Linked DNA regions of Saccharomyces cerevisiae S288C. Changing the gene in region 1 together with any one later gene gives a genetic interaction. Each region holds a gene or a part of one and is shown in the gene's direction. Other genes may lie near its edges.

Region 1 (2,836 bases):
TAATATAAGCTGTTAATAATAATGACGTTTCTGTATATCCGTCTTCGCAATACATGAACGTCAATAATTCTTGAACTTGGGATACTTGAAATATTAAATAACAAACATTCAAAAGAATTTCCACAGACTGAATGTTTAAGTTCCCCAAACCTATACTACCTGAGGCAGGGAAAGTCAAATGCAAATGCTCTTGTGATTTTGACGCATCATCGTCTAATAAAAGATCTAGATATGTTCGGATTTTCGTTAACGACGGCATTTGCGAGTTTGACGTACATTTTATGATCAATTTCCACACCTCTTTTGTATTCGGTATGTTATACAGTTGAGAAATGGAGGTTGTCGGATTGTCCGTATCATAATTTAGAGACTTTAAATTTACTATGCTTGTATTCTCTTCGAAACGGTGGGTCAGAGATATATTGTTTTTTTTAATTATTTGATAATTATGCCAATCAGTGGTGTTACCGCAAATCAACCCTGTTTCCTCCAATCGTGTAGCTGAAGTCAGCTTATTCAACTCTAACTTCTCGCACAAAACCATATTCTTATCAACGTTATTGAAACACACTATTTCACTAGGTGACGAACATAAATTCAAGGGAGTATTATTCTTGAAAAATTCGTTGTCTAATAAAGGTGTACCAATCAAAGTTTGAGGTATATCTGTATTGAAATTCTGATAAGTGCAAATAAAAAGATTCGTCTTGTAAAGCGATCCTCCACTCCCTACATAACCCTTTTGAACAAACATTAAACAGATCTGTAAAAGTAGTGCAAGGGTTGTACAATTGGGGCAATTTCCCTCGTGTGAGCACGCTGGCGCTGATTCTGTTTGCATATCAGTGCTGCCACCAGTCCGCGAACAATAAATTACTATATTATCAACCATTTCTATCATCTTGGCACATTGCAGGTCGAACCTTCGGAATAGACCTCTCCTTCCCCAGACGTCCTGCCCACTCCGTTTTAGCGTGGTATTAGACCCAACCTTGTTTCTAGAATACCTTTTAAGTTCTAATGATAGTCCACGAGGATCTACTTTCAGAAATGGTAAAATGCTATGATTGTGACAATAAGTAGCAGCGTTTTCCAAAGCAACATCATCCACTTGCAATTCCAATTGTCGTATCTGAAACTTTAGCAAGTTCAAAAGTTCCTTTGTGTTATTGGGATATTGAAAACCATTAGAATCATTTCCAGTTTCACAGGTATCGCCCTCTCTATGAAAGGAAGTGCGAACTTTCCAGGACTGGAAGATATCATTCACTTCGAGAGAATTACGCAAAAGCGCAGAATTGTTAGCATCTGATTGCGATTTGACTATTGCAAGAGAATGAGGAAAATCGGGTGGTTGACCAAAGGAAATATCATGAGCCCAGGGGAACATTTTTTTACATTCAGGCCATTCTGCATCCTGATGTAGTCGCATAAGATCATGCAGTTCACCAGGTGTGATTGAGGGCACTTCCAAAACCATGGTTGTTGCTCTAGTTTTCTATACCCGCCCCTTCTACCTCAATGACAATCTCTCTTTTATGGTTGGTGTTTCTTTTCACTTTTTTACTTCTTCTTGTACTTTTCTTTTTGAACCTTAAAAACTCTTGCAATTATGTTTCCATGATGCTTTTGAAGTAATAATTTATTTTTATTACGCGAAATTAATGGCCTTAACAACTGCCTGCCCCAACAGATAAAAACAAGCAAGGGTCAACCGTGTTGCAAAAAAAATGTCCAACTTAGTTAAAGAAAAAGCACCTGTCTTTCCTATATCTAAAGTAAAGAAGATTGCCAAATGCGACCCCGAATACGTAATTACATCTAATGTAGCTATATCAGCGACCGCATTCGCTGCTGAGTTATTTGTACAGAATCTCGTCGAAGAATCGCTGGTCTTAGCACAACTGAATTCGAAAGGAAAGACAAGCCTACGATTAAGCCTAAATTCTATAGAAGAATGTGTCGAAAAAAGAGATAATTTCAGGTTTCTAGAGGATGCCATTAAACAACTGAAGAAGAATAGCGCACTCGACAAGAAGAGAGAACTAAACATGCAACCGGGTCGGAGCGATCAAGAGGTTGTTATAGAAGAGCCTGAATTGCATGAGGATGATGGTGTAGAGGAAGAAGAAGAAGAAGACGAGGTATCCGAAGAAGAAGAGCCCGTACACAATGAAGAACTTCTTGATGATAGTAAAGATCAACAAAATGATAAATCCACGCGCAGTGTGGCAAGCTTGCTGTCGAGATTCCAGTATAAATCCGCACTAGACGTAGGAGAACACTCCGACTCTTCTGATATCGAAGTTGACCATACGAAAAGCACCGATCCTTAGTGTTGTTGCTATTATTGCTATGTAATTACTATTCGATGCAATATGTTATACATATACATACACGCAATGAGAACCCTAACCTTGAACTTACTATTTTAAAAGGACATCTCGAAAAAGCTTAGGGATAATTAATATTTTGTAGGTTAGAGCTGTTATGTAGGGAAGAAAAACAAGGGCTTTAAAATAATAATCACATTACACGAATAACTTAATTTGTCTTTCTGAAATGGAAAAAGAAAAAAATGACGACTGTAACATTGGATGAATTAATACTGTCATTATTGATACGTTGTTAATTATAGACAGAAATGTATTCAGTACAATAGAACAGTGCTCATAATAGTATAAAGGGTCACAATGTCCAAAAAACAGGAATATATTGCACCAATAAAATACCAAAACAGCTTGCCTGTGCCACAATTACCTCCTAAACTTCTGGTTTACCCCGAGTCTCCGGAGACGAATGCAGACTCCTCCCAACTAATCAATTCACTATACAT
Region 2 (5,198 bases), on another chromosome or scaffold:
CAATTTTCTTGTACCTGTGGTAGAAAGGGAGCGGTTGAACTGTTAGTATATATTGGCAATATCAGCAAATTTGAAAGAAAATTGTCGGTGAAAAACATACGAAACACAAAGGTCGGGCCTTGCAACGTTATTCAAAGTCATTGTTTAGTTGAGGAGGTAGCAGCGGAGTATATGTATTCCTTTTTTTTGCCTATGGATGTTGTACCATGCCCATTCTGCTCAAGCTTTTGTTAAAATTATTTTTCAGTATTTTTTCTTCCATGTTGCGCGTTACGAGAACAGAAGCGACAGATAACCGCAATCATACAACTAGCGCTACTGCGGGGTGTAAAAAGCACAAGAACTAAGCCAAGATCACAACAGTTATCGATAAAATAGCAGTGTTTGCATGGCCATTGAGAAGGACAACATTGGCGTGCGCGCCAATGTTGTCTCACCATGTAGCTCCAAACGAGTTGTAAGAGACGGACCGCTCACGCTTCCGAAGCGGTCAGAAAACGCTTCCCAGTATGCAGTTGACCTACATTCAACCTGCAAATATTGCTTTGCTTCAAGAAATGATTACACAGACGTCTATTTTCTTCTACATAATGCACGAAACTTGGGCATTTAGTCATGTAGCCGCCTAGCGAGCCTGGGTGCCGTCCTATCTCCTTTGTTCGTGCAAAGAGACAGGAACACACACTGCGTTCTCTTGCGGCCGGTCTGGCGGACTCAGGGGTGCGGCGTTTGCTTAACCGGAGGGAATAATAAAATCGGGGTGACGCAAGTATGAAGTCATGTGTGCTTAGCAATTACGTAGAGGGATTAGAAATAATAGTGTGCGGTTATCGGAACCGGCTCTTGTTCCCGTTTAGAGCAACCCAGGTGCAGGCGTACTTTAAAGTATTTTCTTTCTTTTTTTTCCTGCTACTTACGCTAGGAGCTGCCGCAGCTGCAAAGCCGACGTCGGAGAGGCAGGTGATCTTCGGCTCGGCCGACAAATCCCCTGGATATCATTGGCCTGTCGAGGTATCGGCCGCGTGGAACTACCGGGAATTACTATGCAAAACAATTGGAAATCTGGTAGGAAAACCTTGTTCTAGAACTTGGCGATTGCTGACAAAGAAGAAAAGGGCCTATTGTTGCTGCCTCTTTTGTTGTTCTTCCTCGTATTGTCTTGCCGGTGTTCTTTGTGTCTTTTGTGTGTAGGTTCTTACTATTATAGTGCTCTTTGCTATTATATTTTCTTCGTTTTCACTTTGCGTAATGTAACGGTCTTAAACAAAGTTTTTTTTTTTTCGCTCTTGCATTTTCCTTTTCTGCTCTATCTTATTTGCTAATTGTAGTTTCAGAAGTTTTACTTAAATATAGCACTATTTTCCAGTTTTAATGTTTCTTCTCATTGCTTTCTTTTATAATTTTCGCATATAATTATACATTTACGGTGTCTTAACTCTCCCTCTTCACCCCTCATTATTCCAGAAAATACTAATACTTCTTCACACAAAAGAACGCAGTTAGACAATCAACAATGAATCCTAAATCCTCTACACCTAAGATTCCAAGACCCAAGAACGCATTTATTCTGTTCAGACAGCACTACCACAGGATCTTAATAGACGAATGGACCGCTCAAGGTGTGGAAATACCCCATAATTCAAACATTTCTAAAATTATTGGTACGAAGTGGAAGGGCTTACAACCGGAAGATAAGGCACACTGGGAAAATCTAGCGGAGAAGGAGAAACTAGAACATGAAAGGAAGTATCCTGAATACAAATACAAGCCGGTAAGAAAGTCTAAGAAGAAGCAACTACTTTTGAAGGAAATCGAGCAACAGCAGCAGCAACAACAGAAAGAACAGCAGCAGCAGAAACAGTCACAACCGCAATTACAACAGCCCTTTAACAACAATATAGTTCTTATGAAAAGAGCACATTCTCTTTCACCATCTTCCTCGGTGTCAAGCTCGAACAGCTATCAGTTCCAATTGAACAATGATCTTAAGAGGTTGCCTATTCCTTCTGTTAATACTTCTAACTATATGGTCTCCAGATCTTTAAGTGGACTACCTTTGACGCATGATAAGACGGCAAGAGACCTACCACAGCTGTCATCTCAACTAAATTCTATTCCATATTACTCAGCTCCACACGACCCTTCAACGAGACATCATTACCTCAACGTCGCTCAAGCTCAACCAAGGGCTAACTCGACCCCTCAATTGCCCTTTATTTCATCCATTATCAACAACAGCAGTCAAACACCGGTAACTACAACTACCACATCCACAACAACTGCGACATCTTCTCCTGGGAAATTCTCCTCTTCTCCGAACTCCTCTGTACTGGAGAACAACAGATTAAACAGTATCAACAATTCAAATCAATATTTACCTCCCCCTCTATTACCTTCTCTGCAAGATTTTCAACTGGATCAGTACCAGCAGCTAAAGCAGATGGGACCAACTTATATTGTCAAACCACTGTCTCACACCAGGAACAATCTATTGTCCACAACTACCCCTACGCATCATCACATTCCTCATATACCAAACCAAAACATTCCTCTACATCAAATTATAAACTCAAGCAACACTGAGGTCACCGCTAAAACTAGCCTAGTTTCTCCGAAATGATTTTTTTTTTCCATTTCTTCTTTCCGTTATATTATATTATACTATATTCCCTTTAACTAAAAATTTATGCATTTGGCTCCTGTTTAATAAAAGTTTAAATCGCCTCAAAAGAACAATTGAAAAATATGTAAAATAACAGCAAATAAAAGTCAAAATTAAAACAAAGTACCCAGAGACAAAAAAGAAAGAAAAGAAAAAAGAAACAGTCTACAAATTCTATTTGAATATATAAAATTATATTCTCAATTTTCACGTATATATTCACCTCACAAATAATATCATTCCTTTAAAAAAAAATATGTATTATTGTATAATGTTTCAGCATAGTCGTTTTTTAAGCCCTTTTTTTTAAACTTAAAAAACAAATCAATGAGATATTGTATACCTATATTATCGATAATAAAGCGACGAGGATGGACTGCAAGATATTGGTGTTAGGCGCAGGTGGTCTAGGATGCGAAATCCTGAAGAATTTGACAATGTTAAGCTTTGTTAAACAGGTTCATATTGTAGATATAGACACAATCGAGCTAACCAACCTTAATAGACAATTTCTTTTTTGTGATAAGGACATAGGCAAACCGAAAGCTCAAGTGGCAGCCCAGTATGTAAACACGCGGTTCCCTCAATTGGAAGTTGTGGCGCACGTACAGGACCTGACCACTTTGCCCCCGAGCTTTTACAAAGACTTCCAGTTCATAATCTCGGGGCTGGACGCCATTGAACCTCGTCGCTTCATCAATGAGACTCTCGTGAAGCTTACCTTGGAGTCCAATTATGAAATTTGCATCCCGTTCATAGATGGTGGAACAGAGGGGCTCAAGGGACATGTAAAAACAATCATTCCAGGCATCACTGCATGCTGGGAGTGCTCCATTGATACCTTGCCCTCGCAGCAGGATACTGTGCCAATGTGTACAATCGCCAACAATCCTCGCTGCATTGAGCATGTTGTGGAGTATGTCTCAACTATACAATACCCTGATTTAAATATTGAGTCTACGGCGGATATGGAATTTCTGCTGGAGAAGTGCTGCGAAAGGGCTGCCCAATTTAGCATCTCAACAGAAAAATTATCAACAAGTTTTATCCTGGGTATAATAAAGAGTATCATACCTAGTGTAAGCACTACGAATGCGATGGTTGCAGCGACATGCTGTACGCAGATGGTTAAGATTTATAATGATTTAATCGACCTGGAAAACGGCAATAATTTCACTTTGATTAACTGCTCAGAAGGGTGTTTTATGTACAGTTTCAAGTTCGAGCGGTTACCCGACTGTACTGTTTGTTCAAATTCCAATTCCAACTAGTATTACTAATGAATAATACCATCCGCCGGTGTCACTTGTTTAAACATCTTGCAAGTAAGTCGAGATCCTAGAGAGCCTTGTACATGTGATTGCACAGTAAAGAAGGTATGCAGGCTAAATTATTGTTTACCAGACTAAACTTTAGACGTCCCTCCACAACTTTACGCCAGTTTCCCCTAACATGTTTTTTATTTCATAGCAAAGCATTTTACTCGGATCTGGTCACTAAGGAGCCGTTGATCACACCGAAAAGAATAATAAATAAGACGCCTGGGTTAAACTTATCTATTTCTGAGAGGGCTTCCAACAGACTAGCTGAGATCTACCGCAATAGTAAGGAAAATTTAAGAATTAGTGTGGAAAGTGGTGGATGTCACGGTTTCCAGTACAATCTAACTCTAGAACCCGCTACCAAGCCAGATATTAAGAATGATGTCAAAGACAAGGAGTTTTCAGACGACCTTGACGATGATGATTCCAAGGATATAATATACGTGTTACCCGAAGATAAGGGTCGAGTGATAATTGATAGTAAATCACTAAACATTTTGAATAACACTACACTGACATACACTAATGAGTTGATCGGTTCTTCGTTCAAAATCATCAATGGTAGCCTAAAAAGTAGTTGTGGTTGTGGAAGTAGTTTTGATATTGAAAATTAAGCTGTATTATATTCATCCCTGTATATAGCATGCCCAGCTGCCAAGCATTTTTTTACTTAATTGTCTCTATTATATATTTGAAAACCTAGCAAGAGCATTACGGGATAAAACGCTGCGGCGTTCGCATTATTAATTTGTATTCAAACGACTAATTAAAACTATCTTACAGTTCGTAAAACTTCATAAGTTCGACCATATCTCTATCCTTATTGTCATTCCTTAACATTTTCATTCGAGAACTTCCTTCCATCTCATATATCCAATACTGATAGTTCTCTTCATTATACATTTCAACAAGATCATGTTCACGTATAAATTGTTCAGAATCATCACCATCACAGACATCAAATGGATCGATTTGGAACGAATTATTGTCACCACATCTTAAGTTGGAAAACTGCTTTGTAACACACCAAGTCAAGTACGTATAAAATCTACTCATTAGTAAATCGTTGTACCCACCCCCTCCAAGTAGGAATATGTGCGCTCGAGGATAACTTTTCATGATATTTATGATGATTCGAGAAAGCCCTCGTATTGTTAGCTGCCATTCATTGAATCTATCACCCAGAAGCCCATCACCACCACATTCAATTATTA
Region 3 (9,915 bases), on another chromosome or scaffold:
ATAGGGTCAGCGAAGCCCGTAAATTGGAAGAATTGAATTTGAACGATGGGCTGGTTGCCGCTGGCTTGCAGTTGGTCGGTGTAGCGTTAGAGAAACAAGGTACAGGATCACATATATACATGAAACAGAAGAATTTCTCAGCTAATGACGTTTCTTCGTCACCAATGGTTTCCGAAGAAGTGAACGGATCGGAAATGGATTTTAATCCGAAGTGCATGCCTCAGGACGCATCACTCGTCGAAAGAATGTTTGATGAGCTTTTAAAAGATGGAACTTTTTTTTGGGGGGCTGCTTATAAGAATTTACAAAACATCTCTCTACGAAGGAAATGGTTATTGATATGTAAAATCCGTAGTTCCAATCATTGGGGGAAAAAGAAAGTGACTTCGAGCACGACATACTCTACACATTTGGCCACTAATGAACTAGCTGAAAACGCACACTTTTTGGATGGCCTAGTTAGAAACCTTTCAACAGGTGGCATGAAGTTATCGAAGGCTCTATATAAACTAGAAAAATTCCTGCGAAAGCAAAGCTTTTTGCAACTTTTTCTCAAGGATGAAATTTACTTGACGACATTGATCGAAAAGACTTTGCCACTCATATCCAAGGAATTACAATTTGTTTATCTTCGGTGCTTTAAAATACTGATGAACAACCCACTGGCGAGAATAAGAGCACTACATTCTGAGCCTTTAATTCGCTGGTTCACCGAGCTTCTGACGGATCAAAATTCTAATTTGAAATGTCAGTTACTTTCTATGGAGTTACTTTTATTATTAACGTATGTTGAGGGTTCCACGGGTTGTGAGTTGATATGGGACCAGCTTTCCATATTATTCACCGATTGGCTAGAATGGTTTGACAAAATCCTTGCGGATGATATTGCAATTCATTCATCCCTTTATTTGAACTGGAACCAATTAAAAATAGACTATTCGACAACTTTCCTACTGCTAATAAACTCCATACTGCAAGGTTTCAACAACAAGACTGCACTAGAAATTTTGAATTTTTTGAAAAAGAATAATATACATAACACTATCACATTTTTAGAACTGGCCTATAAAGATGATCCTAATAGTGTCGTGATCATGGAACAAATAAAACAATTCAAATCCAAAGAATCTGCGATATTTGACTCGATGATAAAAACTACCAACGATACGAATTCGCTTCACCCAACAAAAGATATCGCAAGAATAGAAAGCGAGCCTCTATGTCTTGAAAATTGCCTGTTATTGAAGGCAAAAGATAGTCCCGTAGAGGCACCAATAAACGAGATTATTCAATCGCTGTGGAAAATCTTAGACTCTCAAAAACCATACTCAGAATCTATTAAACTATTAAAATTGATAAATTCTTTGCTGTTTTATCTCATAGATTCCTTTCAAGTGTCAACGAATCCTTCTTTTGATGAAACCTTGGAGTCCGCAGAAAATGTGGATTATGTTTTTCAAGATTCTGTTAATAAATTGTTGGATTCTCTACAATCTGATGAAATTGCTAGAAGAGCGGTCACAGAAATTGATGATCTTAATGCTAAGATTTCTCATTTGAATGAAAAATTAAATTTAGTAGAAAATCATGATAAAGATCATTTAATAGCAAAACTAGATGAAAGTGAATCTTTGATATCTCTGAAAACCAAGGAAATTGAAAATCTGAAACTGCAGTTGAAGGCAACCAAGAAAAGACTAGACCAAATTACCACGCATCAAAGGTTATATGACCAGCCACCTTCATTGGCAAGTAGCAACTTGAGTATTGCCGGCTCGATAATAAAAAATAATAGTCATGGAAATATCATTTTCCAAAATTTAGCAAAAAAGCAACAGCAGCAGCAAAAAATTTCTCTGCCCAAGCGTTCAACTAGTCTACTAAAAAGTAAAAGAGTTACGTCCCTTTCATCATATTTAACTGATGCAAATAACGAAAATGAGTCCCAAAATGAATCCGAAGATAAATCAAAAGACTCATTATTTCAAAGATCTACGTCAACCATTAATTTTAATATCCCTTCTATGAAAAATATTACTAATATGCAAAATGTCTCTCTAAATTCGATACTTTCAGAGTTGGAATTTTCAAATAGCCTAGGAACACAACCTAATTACCAATCGTCTCCCGTGTTGTCTTCGGTTTCTTCTTCACCAAAACTTTTCCCTCGACTTTCCTCAGATAGTCTTGATAATGGAATCCAACTAGTACCTGAAGTTGTTAAACTACCTCAACTTCCACCGCCCCCTCCTCCACCTCCCCCTCCTCCACTTCCACAGTCTCTTTTGACTGAAGCAGAAGCTAAACCGGATGGTGTTTCCTGTATTGCAGCACCTGCACCGCCACCCCTTCCAGATCTATTTAAAACTAAAACTTGTGGCGCCGTTCCACCACCACCACCGCCACCGCCTTTACCCGAGTCCTTGTCGATGAACAAAGGCCCCTCCAATCACGATTTAGTTACTCCTCCAGCTCCACCTTTACCAAATGGTCTTCTTTCTTCCTCCTCAGTGTCTATCAATCCAACGACAACCGATTTAAAACCACCTCCAACTGAAAAGCGATTGAAGCAAATCCACTGGGATAAGGTGGAGGATATCAAAGACACACTTTGGGAAGACACGTTTCAACGCCAAGAAACAATCAAAGAATTACAAACTGATGGTATATTCTCTCAGATTGAAGATATTTTTAAGATGAAAAGTCCGACTAAGATTGCAAATAAAAGGAACGCAGAATCCTCAATTGCCTTGTCTTCAAACAATGGCAAGTCTTCCAATGAGCTGAAGAAAATTTCATTCTTATCAAGAGATTTGGCTCAGCAATTTGGTATTAATTTACACATGTTTTCCCAATTATCTGATATGGAATTTGTTATGAAAGTATTGAACTGTGATAACGACATTGTCCAAAATGTTAACATACTGAAATTTTTTTGTAAAGAAGAGTTAGTAAATATACCAAAAAGTATGCTTAATAAGTACGAGCCATATTCACAGGGTAAGGATGGTAAAGCAGTAAGTGACTTACAAAGAGCTGACAGAATATTTTTGGAGTTGTGTATCAATTTAAGATTTTATTGGAATGCAAGATCAAAGAGTCTGCTGACATTGTCAACATACGAGAGAGATTATTACGATTTGATTTTCAAGTTACAAAAAATTGATGATGCAATTTCACACTTAAATCGTTCACCTAAATTTAAAAGTTTGATGTTTATTATCACGGAAATAGGCAATCATATGAATAAAAGAATTGTTAAGGGTATCAAATTGAAGTCATTGACTAAACTTGCCTTTGTCAGATCCAGTATTGATCAAAATGTATCATTTTTGCATTTTATTGAAAAAGTCATAAGAATAAAATATCCTGATATATACGGTTTTGTGGATGATTTGAAGAACATTGAAGATTTAGGTAAAATCTCACTAGAACACGTTGAATCAGAGTGTCATGAATTTCATAAAAAAATTGAGGATTTAGTTACTCAGTTTCAAGTAGGAAAGCTATCCAAAGAGGAGAACTTAGACCCCAGAGATCAAATTATTAAAAAGGTCAAGTTTAAGATTAATCGGGCCAAAACAAAAAGTGAATTATTGATTGGTCAATGTAAATTAACTTTAATAGATTTGAATAAACTGATGAAATATTACGGTGAAGATCCCAAAGATAAAGAGAGTAAAAACGAATTTTTCCAACCCTTTATTGAATTTTTAGCCATGTTTAAGAAATGTGCCAAGGAAAACATTGAAAAGGAGGAAATGGAAAGAGTGTACGAACAAAGGAAGAGCTTGTTAGATATGAGGACAAGCAGTAATAAGAAAAGCAATGGAAGTGATGAAAACGATGGTGAAAAAGTAAACAGGGATGCTGTTGATCTACTCATATCTAAATTACGCGAAGTAAAGAAGGATCCAGAACCTCTAAGAAGAAGAAAGAGTACAAAACTCAATGAAATAGCCATTAACGTACATGAAGGAGATGTAAAAACGAGAAAGGATGAAGATCACGTTTTACTAGAGAGAACGCATGCTATGCTGAACGATATTCAAAATATATAGTGAAGACTTAGTATTTTATGTAGTTGTGGAGCTTATATAAAGAAATGGACAATATTCGCAATCGCTTCTCAAAAGGGAAATATTTTCCCTTTTCGGGCGGTGGTCGTGTTGACAAATTTCCTAGTTAAGAACTAAGATTTGGAGATGGACAGATTCATTAATAAATTTCAAAATAAGCACAGAAAGCATCGAATTTTTAGCTCAAAACAATCTACTTTTCAATCATCAAAACAGACTATTGAATAAAGATGGGCAATGTGTCTGTGGCAGTGGGAACGGCAGTTGGGATTCCAATTGCTGTGGGCGTAATAATAGCCCTGATATTTTGGTGTAAATTACAACGACGTTACAAAAAAGAAGAGATTAGAGATGCTGATTTGGAGAAGATGGTAATGGAAGAAGTGGCAGTGTCGGTATATGATGGTTTTAAAGCCGAAATTAACAGCTCAAGTGAAGCTTCCACGATAAACGAAAAGGAAGCAAACCAGGATCTTAAACCCTGCCAAGAAAAAACCGCCAAGGCAGGGTACACACCAGCATACAGAAGGCAATTGAACGCTAGTATGGGGACTTTGCGTCCAAAAAAGCAGAGCACTGCATATACCAATGTCCCCGTCATTTTCAGCGGCGAAAAGGTGAATTATGGGATGGTCAGAGATCCTTCCTATAGTTTTATGTATCCACTGACGCTATCGCGCAAAGAAACGAGTAGTTTGAGATCAGCTTCTACGTCAAACTTGTCATCGAGCACAGAAAATACTGCGTTACACGAAGAAATAAAACTGGATGACCCATATGAAAACGATTTTACGAATTATACTGTCAACAAGAGAGAATTTATTGACAGCTTACGGCCACACTAATATATATGCATATAGATATATAAACGTACCTACATAGTTTTGCATTTGTATAGATACCCAGACCACTTGTAATAACGATAAAAATAAAATAATAATAAAGGATATTTACAGACAAATAGCACCATACTTGCTATTAAATTGGTGTCTTGGTATTTTCAGCTAGCAAATCGATCTTTTGGCCAGCGGCAGTGACGCTCCATTCATGAATCAAAAACTCTTCGTCGTGAGTGTTCCTATCGGCAACCAGTCTAACGGTTCCAGTAACGTTTTTGTCCCCCTTGATATAAAACGTAATGTTAATCCTACCCTTCACAGAGTTCAGTTCACCGTAGACCCAAGGGATGATACCATCAAATTCTATGCTCTCACCCAGTATGTTTTTAGTTGCTGGAGACCGTCTTATATAATACAGCGTGTTGGAGATAATGGGGGACTCCGTCTTTTCATAGTTGAAGATCAAAGATAGTGCGGACCCAATGGCCACAGAAAACAACAAAAATCCAGCTATTCGCTTTCTCCTCTCCGTGGTTGGGTCAGGCAATTCTCTGTCAATTCTCAATGGCCTGTTCTTGTCTTTCAAAACGATCTTGGCCTCATCTTCAGCGACACTATTATTGAATCTAGCGCTGGTAGAGAATGAGTGCAGCAAGGAACCACGCACTAGCACAGCCTTAGCTGCAGAAGGTGTCACTTTCGGCAACCCTTTAGTTACTAGTCTTAACATCATGTATAGTCTGTTTTATCTTTTACTTTTATGTCGTGGACTGGTACGGAGAGAAAGATCGAACTGTTTTAAAACTGGGATTAAAATGACAAGAAGGCGCTTTCTTTCTCTCCACAATGATCAAAACAAGAACAAGCAAAACGCAAAGAGATGACATTAGTAAGTACCCAAATGAGCTACTAACAACGCATCCGGTAATACTAACAAGAGAAATTGGTTAGGTAGGGAAACTAGTACACATATCCATAGATTTGGTCTTGGTATCAACGTGCCTCGCGGGGATTAAACGCAATACAGGTTTGACGCCTAAACTGGAGACTCTGGACAATCAGACTATGAGAAACTACATGAAGCGGTACTTGAACTTGGGAGAGTCTGTATACGACTATTCTGTTGCCACTTGTGGCTCCTCGACGTATTTCGCTAGGAAATAGGTACGTTTATATTCTATATATGTTGATAATATTTTGTATAACGGCACCCAGCCGGGGGCCAAAATTAATAACCGCAACTTAAAGAGCTATCGCTATCGATTACGCATAGAACTTTAAATGCTAGACGATGATAAGGGCACGGCCATGCATCCACATATAACGCCGTTCACGCCTGAGTACTCAAATGAATTACTGCGAAGGGTCCAGGACCTGTACCACGAAGATATCAAGCACTACTATCCGCAGCTAAAACTGGAGAAGCTGCTGGACCTTCTGGAGCATACAGAGTACCTATTCGAGTTATATCTAGATTCAATCCATCACGATAGGCCCAACGATGCACTGACAGCGTTTATCATTGGATGCTACTACGTGTTCTTAATTATTCCACAATCTTTGCAGTTCCAAACACGAAACAAGTCCTACAGCATCTATACAGATCTAAAAAAGATGTATGAGAATGAAATGAACATGACCAATGTTGTGCTTATGGTGAAGAAAGAAATCGGTGTGGTCCTAGATGAATCGGTTAAACACGGGGCCGGTATTGAGCACAGAATCACCAAGAAGAGGGCATTTTCAGTTCCAGCTGACGATCTTTCAGGTCAGGTAGCTTCACTATCACTTGACACCGCGGCACCGCAAGATCATGGCCTCAAAGGCACGTTTACTGAAGACGACGCAGAACAATCTTCACCTGTTTGGACAGCACCAAACTTAGAGCCCAACGACCAATTGAAACTGGCTTTATTGCCCGAAGTGATACCAACGCCAGCTTTTCGTGAGCCTGAAAGAAAGACAAGTGTTCCAGTGAGACCATCTGTTTTATTGGAAGATGTACCCTCCATATACCACGAGGATGACACTAGTTTCGCATCTTTGAACCCACCATTTCGAGAAATAACCGCAGATAGATCAGTAACTCATCGAAAGGATTCTTACCATTCTGTTTATATGGTGGATAGCGGCAACCTCAAGGAAGACAATGATGATCTGTTCAACGTTGAGAATGATGGCTTCATCCAGAGTTTGGATATTTTACAAAAGCAGAGTATAATCACAGCACCAGAATTGTTTAGTATTTTATCGAATCGCGTTGAACGTGAAAAGGTTTTACTCATCGACTTGAGAATACCACAAAGATCTGCAATAAATCACATTGTGGCTCCGAACTTAGTGAATGTGGATCCAAACTTGTTGTGGGACAAGCAGACGAACACACCTATCTACAAGGATGACATATTGGAACATTTACTGAAGGAGAATGAGAATTTTATAAACCGTAATAAATTTGATTACATTGTTTACTATACTGATGTGAAGACCTTCATGACTATAAATTTTGATTATGCATTTATTTTTTTTTATTTGATGCTGACTTCTCAGAAGACTCCTTTAACAACTGTACCTACTACCCTCTTAGGTGGGTACGAAAAATGGAAGAAAACTCTGCATTCGTATGCCCAGGAGTATCATATCTCTATTGAAGATTACTTGTACAGACCTTACTCACAGAAGGCGCGCTTACAACAGGAGCAGCAGCAGCAGCAGCAGCAGCCGGATTCTCAGGACTCTTTTTCCGCTAAGGAATCATCTACAAAAGTTCCTGAGCCTCCCTCCTGGAAGCCCCCTGACCTGCCTATAAGGTTAAGGAAACGTCCTCCACCTCCACCGCCTGTATCAATGCCCACAACCCCAGAAATTCCACCTCCTCTGCCCCCTAAGATAATGGTTCATTCACAAGTCAGTTCTATCTCTCGAAAGCCGCCAATACCAGCAAAGCAGCATGTCAAAAAGGAACAACTTAACTCCAATGAAATTATTCAAAGAAAAAGACAGCACCAGCATCAGCATTACGACCAACAAATATTACAACCGCAAAGGGCGTACAATATTCCAACTATTGAACGCAGTCCAAACGTATACGTTTCGTTGTCCATCACGGGACTAAGAAATTTGGGCAATACATGTTACATTAATAGTATGATACAATGTCTATTCGCTGCGAAAACATTCCGGACACTCTTCATTTCATCCAAATATAAGAGCTATCTGCAACCAATAAGGAGCAACGGATCTCATTATTCTCCTAAACTTTCGAATTCACTAAGTATGCTCTTCAACAAGATGTATCTAAATGGTGGTTGCTCAGTTGTCCCAACAGGATTTCTCAAAGTTATCAATCAATTGCGTCCCGATTTGAAAATTCCTGATGACCAACAGGATACCCAAGAGTTCCTAATGATACTTTTAGACAGGTTACACGATGAACTTTCCGACCAACAGCATGTAGCGAACGATTATCCGAATTTATTATTGTATAATGCAGATGCCCTAAAGGTTTCAAACAACGAATATAAGCACTGGTTTGACAAAAATGTCATTGGTAATGGTATATCTCCTATTGATGACATTTTTCAAGGGCAAATGGAGAACAGCTTACAATGTAAAAGGTGCGGTTACACTACTTTCAACTATAGCACATTTTATGTTTTATCACTGGCTATACCAAGACGTTCCATGAAGTTGAGTAAACTTGGTAGGTCTACTGAGAAAAGAGTTAAGTTAGAGGATTGTATTAATATGTTTACAAGCGATGAGGTACTCTCTGGTGAAAATGCATGGGATTGCCCACGCTGTGGCCCCACGGCGTCTGTGTCTACATCTGTGTCTGCATTAGAGAATGAGCCATCCATTGTTAAGAGTAAAAAGAAAAAAAGTCGGTTTTTTACATTACATACAGGAACCAAGCGTCGTCATCTCGACTTTTTTGGAGACGGTATTACTGAGGGCCATAATAGCAATAATAATAATACGACAATCTTTGAACGAGAAAGGTCCAGATCACCCTTCAGGATGTTGGGTGGTAGTGGGAAGAGGTCCAGTTCCAGTACACCGTTCAGTACTGGTGGTAATGATAGTAACAACTCGAGTGATTACAAGAACAAAAAATTGACAACAGTGAAAACGATAAATTTTGTAACTTTACCAAAAATCTTAGTCATCCATTTATCGAGATTTTATTACGATTTGACCAAGAAAAATAACACCGTCGTAACATATCCATTGATACTAAACATTATATTGAAAAACAATGACACTATGAAATATAAGCTATTTGGAGTGGTTAACCATACAGGCACATTAATCAGTGGCCATTACACGTCACTGGTGAATAAAGACCTTGAACACAATGTGAATATTGGGCGTTCTAAATGGTACTATTTCGACGATGAGGTTGTCAAGGCAGATAGGAAACATGGATCTGATAAAAACTTGAAAATTTCAAGTAGCGATGTCTACGTATTGTTTTATGAAAGGGTTTATGACTAGCAAAATTTTGCATTTTTTTTTTTGCACCATAAATATGTATTGCGTATGCACCAGGACGTTGAAGAATATTATTTAGTGTTTCTATATTTTATGATAAAACTAGAGATAAAGGGGATAATTAAAACGATATTAAAACGGAAGTCTACACAATGATTATATAGATTATATTATGTATTGGAAATAGAATATAAACACTAGGAAGGTCATAATTTGAAGATCAATTGTAGTAGTAGAGTCTATTACCTCTTTTTTTTTTTTTCTTCATATATTTTTGTAGTTTTTTTAGTTTACTTTAACTCTTCCATTAAGGAAAATAGGTAATAATAGCGATTTCATTGCCATTACCACCATTATTATTATTGTTATTACTATCATTATTATTATTATCATCATTACCATTATTATTACTCTTGTGAATGTTATCTTTGTCACCCTTAACTATCATGATCGATTTAGACACCAAACGTCTTGATGAAGTTCACAGTTTTTTCAAGTTCCCA
Region 4 (3,579 bases), on another chromosome or scaffold:
ACACTATTAAAGCTCTTGAAGATGCGAGCCAGCAAATCTGTAACTGCAAAATCAGCATCGCTATGTTGAATAGACTCAACCAAGTTCTCAACTGCTTTTAAAATACAATTAACTAGTTCTTGTGAGTTCAACCTTTCATAGTTATTCTCCAAATACAGATGATAGTACATCCCTCTGTTCCTATAACATAGATATCGCAGGTTATCTAGCGTAGGAGAAGAATTGCGATACATGCCCCACCTATCAGGCTTGACGACATCAATCTGGAAGAGCTCTTGGAATTTGCTGTCCGACTTTTCGAAGTCCTTGTTTTTTAGATCAATCAGAGCGTCCTGCAAAATATTAAAACTCTGTTCTATTTGAAGCTCTCTTGAATGCTCCTCTGCTTCATATTGTTCACCTTCGATGTTTGAATTGAGGGCATTGAACATAGACATAATAAGCTTTATCTAGAATCTGTGTTGAGGTTCTAACTCCTTAAAGTGCCTTTACGGACCTGCCTTGCTACCGTCTATTTGTATTTCTGCTCTTCCCAACGTAAACAATTCAATAAATAATTTCGCGATGGCACATAGTAACAAGCTGTTAAATCGAAGTAAAGAAAAGGAAAGTCAAGAAAACAAAGAGAGAAACAAATGCAAGGGTGATGGTTCAATATGTGGTAGAATGGTTACCAAGGATACAGAGCATTTCAGTGGTAGTAGAAGGTTGGAAGCAGGTGGAGATAAAGAACTTGAAGGACACACTCATGAGCATATCTGGTGATGAAGAACAAGTTGAAGATATTTTACTTCCAGTAGAAGTTGAAGAAAAAGTAGACGCTTCTTACAAGTTCAAAAACAGAGGTAAAGACTTAGAATGGATGACGAAGTTAAGAAGCAAATCCTCTAAGATATATGACAGTTCTATCATGTCGCTTCCAGATGGAAGATGGACTAAAGAAGAGCTTCGCTCAGATTCTGATTTCTCGATAGAATGTCTTAACTGTAAGCAAAAAATTATAAGCAAAGATAACTGTCAAGTTTTGAATGATATGCCTTCAGAGTTTTGGTTCGAGTTAATGGATTATTGGCATTGCCACAAACCCGATGTTAAGGAAGACAAGTCTTCCTACACAAGATTTGAAACGCTAAAACCATCTAAAAACGAAATTTTAATTGGAAGCTCTTATTTTCAAGGCACTCCTGCGACTTTTGAAAATGTAGCGACTACAAAGGAAAATGATAATGTTTTATGCATAAAGTGCTCAGCAGTGTTAGGCCAAGTAACTGCTGGTTCGCTTTATAAACTACACAAATGGAAACTGCAGTTAATACGCAGTGGAAACACATACAAATTTCCTCCAGAATGTGACATTACAATTTCTTTAATAAACGTAGTTAAGGCAAACTCTTGTCGTTACGTACTAGTAAAATGTAAAACGGAATCATTGCTAGTTTGGATATTTTCCGTTGACATTGGAGTCACATTGACGGGAAACAAAAGCTTCAAGAGAGCGATGAAGTTGCTTTACACAAACAGCGTTACCACAATAAATCGATGTCTCAATCGACAAGTCGTCGAGGAATTAGATTTCCAAGAAACATCGTTTAATGCTTTTTACAGCGCCCTTCAACATACTAATGCACTTTTACCCTCAAGCATGAAAAAAATTGGTGAATGGACCATTAGCTATACATCACTAATCTAATTTTAAGAACCATTCTCTTTCAAATTTGTACAAATATTGTCATCAAGTAATAAATAGCTTCTTTTTTTTTTTAACATACAGTTGTAGAATTAACTTCGTTGGCCGAAGAATTGCACAACAATAGCGTTTGTTATATTACTAAATATAGGGGCTTTCTTGGGAACGAAAGTGAAACAAACGCTTTTAATACAATGAAGGTCGAGAAATCATCTAAAGGCTTGGAAGTTTTAGTGAGGACACAGGAGGATGATCTAGAGGGGTTCTCTTTCCTGGAGATTATGGACCGCGTAGACCCTTTACCATTAGACTTCGAGAATTACAAAAATTTCAAAGAGGGCATTTACTATATGTGTACACACGATGGCACAAAGATCGGTTTCGTGTTGAAATTTGCGATAAATGAAATGGAGACTGTTTGCTCGGAAATCTTCGAAGAAACCTTCCAATTAGATGAATCTAGACATGAGTTAAGGTTTAAAAGTGAAGATTTTGATCATAGAAACAATCTAATTGACCAATTGGCTCGTAAAATGTATTTAGAATCATCCTTGAGTGGTGTGAAGGGCTGGAGAAACGAGAAATATGCCGTTTGGGTTAATAAAAAACCCTATGTACTGGTTGAGCGTGCAGTAGCAGGTGTTCTTGGTATAATTACCTACGGGATTCATATTAATGGTTATGTGCTAGATCCAAAGTCAAAAAAAGTTCAGTTTTGGGTTCCAAGAAGATCTAAAACGAAACAAACATGGCCGCTAATGCTTGACAACATTATCGCCGGGGGATTAGGTTATCCTTATGGTATCTATGAAACAGTTTTGAAAGAAAGCATGGAGGAAGCCAATCTAGAAAAGAGTGTTATTGAGGATAACATTAAAGCAACTGGTTCAGTTTCCTACCTTTACTTTACGGGTGATATTTCTGTAACGAAGTTCAATAAGGAATCAGATTTTATCGTAGGGGAAGTACAATATGTATACGATCTAAAACTCAGCGAAGACATCATTCCAAAACCAAACGATGGTGAAGTCGAGAGTTTCAATTTATTCAGCCTGCAAGAGACGATTAATGCTTTAAGAAAAAAAGAGTTCAAACCAAATTGTGCATTGGTAATGGTAGATTTCTTGATTAGACATGGCTACATCACTCCAGAAAATGAGCCCAATTATCTTGAACTAGTAACTAGAATGCACAGAAGGTTACCATTCCCCACCTTGAATTAACATTCAAGAGGTTACCGGTTGATATCTAAACAAATATAAAGAATTTTTTTCATATATACACATCTAGGTACATACTATCTAAGATCAAAAGTACTCTATTTTGTCACTAAACGGAGGAAGGCGTTCAGTTCGTTTGTGGTTAGTGAACAGAAAAAGTTACTTGGAGAAATTTAATTCTATGTCAAACCACTCTCTAGAAACAACTTCCGATGGTGACAAGCTGACATCTCCATACACTAGTGGTGAAAAGTATACAAAAAACCACGCAACAGCACAGGAGACACACACCAAGAAGACGGTATAGGGTTTAACGTAGACCTTAGGGTTCCGTTCATATGATGCACCTGAAATATCCTCGTCTTTCTCCAAATCCAATGATTTGCAATCACTGAAAATTACTTCCCATAGTGCTCCTGAGAATAAGCACGCGATTAAATGAGCTGGTAAGTAATGATGCAAAAACTTTTGACGCGCCATTAAAAAGAATGGAAAATAATGACAGCACCAGGAGACGAAGAAAAACATCAATGGGCCATACAGCTTTTCTCTGGTCATCTTGTTTAGGGCATAATAGCCACGATGTCTAGTAATTAAATCGGCCACGATAATGCCAACAAAAACAGCCAATGATATGACTTGGAACCACCACCCAATGATGTTACCAATGAA

The links.
Region 2: mutations in DPB3 (region 1) and ROX1 together harm fitness more than expected from each alone (negative genetic interaction), as found in Saccharomyces cerevisiae (2 studies listed by BioGRID).
Region 3: mutations in DPB3 (region 1) and UBP7 together harm fitness more than expected from each alone (negative genetic interaction), as found in Saccharomyces cerevisiae (2 studies listed by BioGRID).
Region 4: mutations in DPB3 (region 1) and YJR142W together harm fitness more than expected from each alone (negative genetic interaction), as found in Saccharomyces cerevisiae (2 studies listed by BioGRID).

What each region holds. Positions count from the first base shown.
Region 1 is NC_001134.8:758,564-761,399, forward strand, and holds DPB3 (DNA polymerase epsilon noncatalytic subunit), read left to right. Parts: upstream 1-1,730; coding exon 1,731-2,336; downstream 2,337-2,836. Other genes in the region: tyrosine/serine/threonine protein phosphatase PPS1, read right to left, coding at 1-1,480; PAF1 (Paf1p), read left to right, coding at 2,694-2,836. UniProt on the Saccharomyces cerevisiae protein: As accessory component of the DNA polymerase epsilon (DNA polymerase II) participates in chromosomal DNA replication.
Region 2 is NC_001148.4:678,180-683,377, forward strand, and holds ROX1 (Rox1p), read left to right. Parts: upstream 1-1,513; coding exon 1,514-2,620; downstream 2,621-5,198. Other genes in the region: YPR063C (uncharacterized protein), read right to left, coding at 1-14, 101-141; YPR064W (uncharacterized protein), read left to right, coding at 772-1,191; NEDD8-activating protein UBA3, read left to right, coding at 3,034-3,933; ISA2 (Isa2p), read left to right, coding at 4,041-4,598; HOS1 (histone deacetylase), read right to left, coding at 4,762-5,198. UniProt on the Saccharomyces cerevisiae protein: Transcription factor that represses the expression of HEM13, COX5B, ANB1, CYC7 or AAC3 (hypoxic function). Binds to the DNA sequence 5'-RRRTAACAAGAG-3'.
Region 3 is NC_001141.2:41,892-51,806, forward strand, and holds UBP7 (ubiquitin-specific protease UBP7), read left to right. Parts: upstream 1-6,199; coding exon 6,200-9,415; downstream 9,416-9,915. Other genes in the region: formin BNR1, read left to right, coding at 1-4,061; AIM20 (Aim20p), read left to right, coding at 4,310-4,924; COA1 (Coa1p), read right to left, coding at 5,058-5,651; ATG44 (mitofissin), read left to right, coding at 5,799-5,807, 5,870-6,082; GUT2 (glycerol-3-phosphate dehydrogenase), read right to left, coding at 9,868-9,915. UniProt on the Saccharomyces cerevisiae protein: Involved in the sorting of ubiquitinated cargo proteins at the multivesicular body (MVB).
Region 4 is NC_001142.9:695,260-698,838, forward strand, and holds YJR142W (uncharacterized protein), read left to right. Parts: upstream 1-1,881; coding exon 1,882-2,910; downstream 2,911-3,579. Other genes in the region: HIR3 (Hir3p), read right to left, coding at 1-437; IPA1 (putative polyadenylation protein), read left to right, coding at 647-1,690; PMT4 (dolichyl-phosphate-mannose-protein mannosyltransferase), read right to left, coding at 3,067-3,579.